2 linked regions of the Drosophila melanogaster genome follow. The protein of the gene in region 1 purifies or fractionates together with the protein of each later gene. This does not show direct contact. Each region holds a gene or a part of one and is shown on either strand. Other genes may lie near its edges.

Evidence for each region.
Region 2: the proteins of Taf5 (region 1) and CG7049 purify together in Drosophila melanogaster (affinity purification with mass spectrometry, with the first as the bait; one large-scale study listed by BioGRID). This does not show direct contact.

Annotation. Positions count from the first base shown.
Region 1 is NT_033778.4:10,876,803-10,881,506, forward strand, and holds Taf5 (TBP-associated factor 5), read right to left. Parts: upstream 2,872-4,704; 5' UTR 2,804-2,871; coding exon 689-2,803; 3' UTR 510-688; downstream 1-509. Other genes in the region: nclb (no child left behind), read left to right, coding at 1-414; Pex6 (peroxin 6), read left to right, coding at 3,205-3,231, 3,526-4,038, 4,102-4,704. UniProt on the Drosophila melanogaster protein: TFIID is a multimeric protein complex that plays a central role in mediating promoter responses to various activators and repressors. May play a role in helping to anchor Taf4 within the TFIID complex.
Region 2 is NT_037436.4:174,567-178,233, reverse strand, and holds CG7049 (uncharacterized protein), read left to right. Parts: upstream 1-2,005; 5' UTR 2,006-2,030; coding exon 2,031-3,041; 3' UTR 3,042-3,122; downstream 3,123-3,667. Other genes in the region: Vdup1 (vitamin D[[3]] up-regulated protein 1), read left to right, coding at 397-852, 906-1,088, 1,155-1,544.

The sequences.
Region 1 (4,704 bases):
GACGGTGAAGTGGAGAAGGTCCTGTGGCATCCCACACAGACCGACTACTTCATCGTGGGCACCAACGATGGCACCTTGCATTACGCCGACAAACGTTCTCCTGGACAACTGCTGTGGTCCGTAAAGGCCCACAACGAGGAAATCTCCGGTGTGTGCTTCAACAACCAGAAGCCTAATCTGCTGACCTCCACCTCCACGGAGGGCACCCTAAAGGTGTGGAACTTTGATGGCACAGAGGCAAAGCACGTCTACGAGCACGAGTTCAACATGGGTCGCTTGCAGTGCATGCGCCAGTGCCCCGAGGATCCCTACACCCTGGCCTTCGGCGGAGAGAAGCCTCCGCGCTGTGCGATCTTTAACATCAAGAACTCGATAGCCGTGCGCCGAACGTTTGGAATCCCTGATGCAGAGTAGGCAAATCGTACAGCTACGTATTTATCTGTGTATATGCTTTATATGACTTTTAAATAAATATGAATTATATATAAGAACCTTAATGATTGACTTTTATATTAATTAAAATTTATTGATAACTTGCGCATATATGCACTTTACACTTTTATGCTTAAACAACTAATCGACATTTCAGGGGGGATGGGTCACAAACGAAATACAAAACATTAATCCTAAACATTCCGAGCATTCCTTAACACTACATTACGTATACCAAATAAGCTTATCTGTGCTCCTAACTCTTGAATAGACCCACGCACATCAGGAGATTTCGGCGCGTAAAGTGCAGGCTGACAAATGGCGAGTTCTTGCTGGGGAAAGTACGCATGAGGTAGACGTCCTCGTCGTTCTCATCCTGATGGTGCGACACAGTGATGTGATTGCTGATATAGTCTTCGGTAACCTTGTGAAAGTCCCACAGAGTTAGATTGTTATCCAAGCCGGCTGCAGCCAGGACTGTTCCATCGCGACTAAAGGTGATCGTGGTCACAGTGCTAGTGTGCCTCAACAGGGTGGTGACCAGGGATCCGTTCGACAGATCCCAGATGATGATATTGTGATCTACTGAACCCGAGGCCAGATACCGGCCGCAGGCGGAGAAGGCCAGAGAACTCACCGATCCCTTGTGGCCCGTCATCAGGCGTACCGACTGACCGGTCATGTTGTCCCACAGGCGTACCGTGCGATCGCTAGAACCGGTGGCCACATAATTGGAATTGGGATGAAATTGTACACAATCCACGTCCGACAAGTGACCCACGAATACGCGCAACGCTTGATTGGAATCCGTGGCCCACAGACGAGCAGTTTTGTCGTACGAACAAGAAACAAAATAGTAGCCATGCGGCGCAAAGCGAACATCCCACACCGGGTAAACGTGCCCGCGGTAGGTGACTACGCAGGACCAGGTGAGCAGAGACCACAGCCTTATGGTGCTGTCCTCGGAACATGAGAGCAACAGGTTCATCTCGGGGGCAAAGGCACAGCGGTATACGGGTCCGGTGTGACCCATTAAGCTCCTGGTTACCTCACCACTTCGGTCATCCAGCATACGCACATTGATATCCGCCGATTCCTTGTCCAGTTCGCGAAGGGAATCTGCATCCTTCAGCGTACGCAGCTTCGCGGGCGTCAATGACCAAATCCTCACGCTAGAATCGCCAAATCCACAGGCCAACATCGTGGAATCGTCTGAAATCTCGGCACAGGTTACGCCCTGATGGGAATTAAGCACCGTGTAGAAGACGGCAGAGGGCAGTTGATCCTTGCTGAGGGCTAAACGCTTGCTGGCTTCCCTGAGAGCCTTAAGCTTTAGCAACTTGTCCGAATCCTTCAGTTCCGGCAGGGGAATTCTGTCGATGGATGGAGCATTCGGATCCGACTTGGACTTTTTCGACAGCAGGGGATCCTTTTTTGGCTTTTTCTTTTTCGGACGATCCGGGGCATCCGGATCATCGTCCTCCTCCTCTGGTGCCGGCGCTGGAGTGGTCAGAGTCTGAAAGTCCACCTCCTTGAGCAGTCCGTAGTACACCCGCATTTTGTTGTCCTGTCGCTTGGCCTCTCCGAGGTGCGAGCCCGCGGTGGCGACGCACTGCAGCTTGTTGCGCGCCATGCCCTCGTATGTGTCGAAATGCAAGTACTTGGAAACAATATCTGCCACCACTTCCTGCCGGCGATCCTGAATGTGTCGCTTGAACAGAGAGTGCGAGTCCCTGGACATGCGAATGACAAACTTATCCTGCTCCATGGCTACTACGAGGTCATTCTCCAGCAGCTCCTCGGGCTTAGACAGCAAAAGAAGGTTGAAAAGACCCTCTATGTAGTAGCCGTCGAGATCGCATTTGTACTTCTCAATGAATTCTTTGGCCTTCTCCCTTAGTCCACTGGCGAGGATCTTGAAGTAGATCTGCACCAGAATTGGGTACAGAACCATGGACAGCTCATGCTTGTATATGTCCAGGGAGTCCTCAACGAAAGTGCGCAGCTCCTTGTATGCCTGCTCATAGTGCTGAGCATCAAAGCTGTCGTCGTCGATGAACTTGGCCAGTTCCTCTGCAGCATTGGCCTCCGTCACCGCGGACTGTTTATGACCCTGCGCCGGAGATTGGACATGTTTCCGCTCCCGGTTGGCATCGCCAGCTCCCAAAACTGCGCCCAGCACCTGCTGAACATCACTTTCGCTGATTTCCGACAATTCCACACTGCTCACATTCGCCTCTTGGCAGAGCAGCTCCTCAGTGCTCTTCAGCTGGTACTTTTTGATGAGTTTCAGCAGGCACAGCAGCTCACGCTTGTCGTGGGACAATTGAGTACCGTTTCCCCCGTTTATATTGCTCACTTCCAGGCTCATTTTCGCGGAAAATTGAAATATATGGAACTTGTGTACTATTTTGTTATGCGTGGAAAAGTGTGACCAGGTTGGCATCGGTTGAAAACGGCCAAGTGGAGAATGAAATATACTAAAATGCACCAAGTACAGTCAAAATATACAGTAGCCACTAGCGAAGACGGATTCTAAAAATAAATTGTATTAATACATTATAAATTATATCTTTTTGCCAATTTTTGGAATTACTTAAAATATAATGACATATTTCATTCTTTCATTTTACTACAAAATTAATATTTAACTTTTATGCAGGTCAAAGAAATTATTTGAAGATGTGCTTATAAAGGTCTTACTGTGGACAGCTGACTGAATACTTTTAGTATTTTTTGAGCAAATATCTTACCAGAATCAAAACATTCGTAATGAAGAGGAGAGTAATTGTGAAAAAGGTAAAATACAAAGTAACTGGCCAAATAAACAAGCTAATTTTTATAGCAGAGGGTAATAATTTGCTGTGCATTAACAGAATTAACTTGCCATTGCATATTTCAGTGTATTTGTCTGGCGCCTATCCCCCAACTCCTTGAACTTTGACACCGCCTCCTCGAAATTAACCCTTGTACTCGTGCTTTCTGTTGTGTTTAGTCCATATTTATTGTAAAAAATGAATGAAAATGATGATGCGGTAGGTCCATATGTAACATTTAAGCCATATTAGCTAATATCGTGATCAATTCCCGCAGAAAAAAGTCGTCGGCAAGCGGAATTCGGTGTCGTTCGATCAACAAGATCCAGGACAGCCGAGATTTAGCTTCTCTGGGAGAGTACAGGAGCTAGTCGAGGGCTACAATTCGGCCATACAGCTGCTGGCGCCCAAGTGGCCCTGGTTCCTCTACCCCGGATATCTGACATACGCCGTATACTGGCGTTACGCCAAATATTACAAGGGCAAGTTTCTGCTGACCCCCATTCCGAACCGCCTCTACGATCTGCTGATCAAGAACGAGCAGATTAAGTCGGAGCACCTGGTGTTCGCCAGTCAGGAGGTGTACGAAAACTATGCGGAATCGCCGGACGTCAACTTTGTCAACTTGGTTATCCGCGGCAGGAGGGTAAGAATCGGTAAGCCGCTAGCTTCAGACGAAGGAAATATGACCCAAACGGTTATCAAGCAAATGCTCCAGGAGGCGCCGCATACGATTGTGGCCCAGATCTTGCCGGCTGCACAGTGCCAACCCAATTGTCTGTACGTTCAGGTGGGTATCTAGTTCTAAATAAATGGAATATTTTCTATAATTCTACATCGTGTAAAATTTCAGGAGAACTTCTACGGCAACATATTGGATCGCTTTCAAATCCGCTCCAACTGCTGGGTGCAGGTAGAGCATTTTGCCGATGAGCAGACAATACCTGGAATAGCAACCAAAGCACATGTGTACTTAGTCGCAGATCCCCATGAACTTCCCGCCGAACTGACAGAGGTCATCCTGAGCAACTATTTCAATACACCTCGACTCATGCATCGTGGACATACCTACCGCATCGAGGTGAACGCAGAGTTGGTGGGCACTGCGACTTATGCCCACTATTACCTGATATTCGCTCACCTACGCCACGTCCACCTAAAGTGTATTCACCTGGAGACAAAGGGCAGCGAGTTCGAGCTGCAAGCGATTGTTGCCAAAAACTTTAGCAACCTTGTTCAAGTGCCTGCATCTCACAGTTTCCTGCCTCGTCAAGTGCTTGACAGCATGGCCATCGTTGAGAACTATCCAAGTGGACTTCGAAAGCCCTATAAGCTGTTGCGCTCCTCAGTAGATGCTTTCCTGCCAAAAAAGTCCGCCTGCCTGTCGTCAAAGCACATATTTCCTGTGTTCCTCCTGCAAGGCGAGCGAGGATCGGGCAAATCAAAGCTTGTGAGC
Region 2 (3,667 bases), on another chromosome or scaffold:
AAAGATGTACATACTGGAGTTTTGCCCAAATTTGTAGGCGCGGGCGTGACACGCCCGACATGCTTCATGCGCCGACCTTGCAGTTGATGCTTAAGTGTTCGGGGCTTTCGTGCTGCATAGTTGTGCACGCAGCCATCTCTTGGCCGTACGAAACTGGTTTTGTTTCCTTTGCCCGCCTAGATGCTACCCACATAAATATGCAAACAAGCGCCGTATGTATGTGAGACCGTAGTCCGTAGTACATGGTCTCAGACCTAGCCAGCTATGACGGATAAGTTGTCATTAACCATAATGACGCGTGCGGAGCGGGTCAAATATTTGGCAACCGTGTTCTAACGAATTTCGTTGGTTTTTCCTTAGGCGTACGAATGAAATCGGCAACAAAACAGAGGCACGATGCCGCGCAAGTTGCTTAAATTCCTTATCATCTTCGACAACACTTCCCTCCTGTACTTCCCGGGCCAGTTTCTCTCCGGACGGGTTCTAATCGAATTGCAGGATGAGACGCCTGCTTTGGGACTTCATTTCCATGTGGTAGGCGAAGGGGTCGTGCGCAACGGGCGGCGACAGGAGCGGACATACGATAAGGAGAACTATATCGACTTTCGGATGCGACTTCTGGGGGACGTAGACCAAGGAGGTCCAGCTATACTCTCGCCAGGAATTCACAGCTTCCCCTTCAAACTCGGCTTGCCACTGGGTCTTCCATCTACATTTCTCGGTCGGTACGGCTGGATTCAGTTCTACTGCAAGGCGGCGCTCCGCGAGAACAATGGCATTATCCATAAGAACCACCAGGTCTTCATTGTGATGAATCCCATCGACCTAAACCTTGAAAAGCCCATCTTAGCAGTAAGTAGCTTTAAAAACCCTGTTTAAAAAAACTAACCTTTCGCCTGACTCAGCAACCGTTCACCTGCGAAGTTGAGCACAAGCTAGGCGTCGTCTGTGTTGGTGGAGGTCAGATAAAGTGCAGAGTGTCCCTTGATCGCGGTGGGTATGTGCCCGGCGAGAATATTCTGGTCACCGCATTTATATCCAACTACAGTAATGTGTCCATTAAACGGACTAAGGCATCCCTCACTGAGGTCGGTATCGCTTTCAAGTGGCTAGTTACAATTCATCCATTTTGATCTTATTTGGATTTTATTTAGACCATCGAGTATTTGGCGCGGGGGAAGGTGGTGCAAACGGAAAAACGGGAGCTGGCTGTTTTAGTTCGTGGCAAGATCCGTCCGGGGGCCAAAGACGAGTGGCACAACGAGCTTTACGTTCCACCCCTGCCGCCGACCAATCTTCATGGCTGCCACCTGATCAAAATATCCTACGACGTCTTCTTCGTGATCGAACCCAAGTCCATGGAGAAGGAGATTAAGCTACAGCTTCCTATCGTGCTTGCGACGTACCCCTTTCGACACTCCGGTGATGCGGTCAATGCCAACACCTGGCCGGAATCGGTGCTTAAGCCGGACACGCACACCCACTATCCGTCCACACTACCCATATTCCGGCCCTGGCTGCACGAGAAGCCTATCGAGGCATAGCCCGCAGCTTTTAGGATTGCTGTGTATCACAACTTGTTAAGACCGATTTGCGCCATACAACAATTTAAACTTATTTAACTTATACTTAACGTTTTTTAATGTTTCTGGTCTTTGCATTTGTAGGTCTTCCGTTCCCAAAAATTTGTTCATGATTGAAGAATTTATAACAAATACAAACGAAAGTTAACATAAAGACCAGACTTTGATAAATTATAATTAGCTCATATACATAACTTTTTATAAAACCTAAATATTGTAGGTTATATATTATTAAAATGGTAAAACTGCACTCATTAACCTTCTAACTACTACTAAATGGTTATAATAATAATAATAATCCCAAAAGTATGGTTGTTGAAATTGAAATAAATTGTTTAAAACGTTACAGCCTAAAGTATGCTATTAAAAAGCTGGCTTGTTCGGAATTTAAATTCGCGAAATTAAGTATTGATTCCAAAACTAAAAAGGGCCACACTGCACGTTAAGATGACAACAATTATATTAGTCCTCTTTATTTGGATAGTTTTATTCAATGACGTATCCAGCGACTGTGGCTGCCAAAAGCTCGACCGGAAGGCCCCGGATATGCCGTCCATTTCCGGACAAGTGTGCCAGCAACGAGCACAGGGTGCACACAGCCACTACCGGGATTACTATGGCGAACTGGAGCCAAATATTGCGGACATGTCACTGCTTCCGGGAGGCACGGTTTACATGGGTACTGACAAACCGCACTTTCCGGCCGACCGCGAGGCTCCGGAACGGCAGGTGAAGCTGAATGACTTCTACATCGACAAGTATGAGGTTTCCAACGAAGCCTTTGCGAAGTTTGTTCTGCACACTAACTACACCACGGAGGCTGAGCGATATGGCGACAGTTTTCTGTTTAAGAGCCTTTTGAGCCCATTGGAGCAGAAGAACCTAGAGGACTTCCGAGTGGCGAGCGCTGTCTGGTGGTACAAAGTGGCCGGCGTGAACTGGCGACATCCAAATGGCGTGGACAGCGATATAGACCACTTAGGCCGACACCCGGTAGTGCACGTATCGTGGCGCGACGCTGTGGAGTACTGTAAGTGGGCCGGCAAGCGGTTGCCCAGCGAGGCGGAGTGGGAGGCGGCTTGCAGGGGCGGCAAGGAGCGCAAACTGTTTCCCTGGGGCAACAAGCTGATGCCAAGGAATGAACATTGGCTGAACATCTGGCAGGGAGACTTTCCCGATGGCAACCTGGCTGAAGATGGGTTTGAGTACACCAGCCCCGTGGATGCCTTCCGACAGAATATTTACGACCTGCACAACATGGTGGGCAACGTCTGGGAGTGGACGGCAGATCTGTGGGACGTAAATGACGTTAGCGATAATCCAAATCGGGTCAAGAAGGGCGGTTCTTATCTGTGTCACAAGTCCTACTGCTACAGGTACAGGTGCGCGGCACGCTCGCAGAACACAGAAGACAGTTCAGCCGGTAACCTGGGTTTTCGGTGCGCCAAGAATGCGTGAGTTGTCATCGTGGGAAATTCCTCACAACTCTTTTATTTTTACAAATACAACAAATTAACCAAATATAAAGACTTTCATTCGAAATGTACGTCTTGTCGCTTCGCGTAATACATATGTGCGAAGTCCTCCACATTCTGGTACTTGGGATAAACTGAAGACGAGAGAAGTCGTCGTTTCTCTATTAGGCGGAACCGGCTGTCATCTACTGGGAAGTTTATATGAACATTAATTACAAATCAGTTTTATGTTCAGCCATGGGACACACATCTTACAACATAAATTTAAATAAGGCAATAGGGCTTCATTTGAATAACTGAAATTTCATTCAATACTGATTTTTCTATTACAATTTTTTAAATAAAAACGTCACAAATTAGGAATTACTTTAAATCCGTACATTTTGAACTGAAACTGTCGATTATTAAGTTTTTAGCTCAAGGAAAAATTGGGAATGTCAATTGTTTAAAGAAAAGAGCAAAAAGAGCTATCGATTACTATCGATACATACTAAGCCATCGATGGCTTTTTTATAAAAGTCGGCGCTGAAATTACCTTGTAAGAAATGCTTTTAAGTTAAAGATCTTTCTGTTGGATCAGTAGTCTCAAGAAAAAAGTCAGGTATGTAT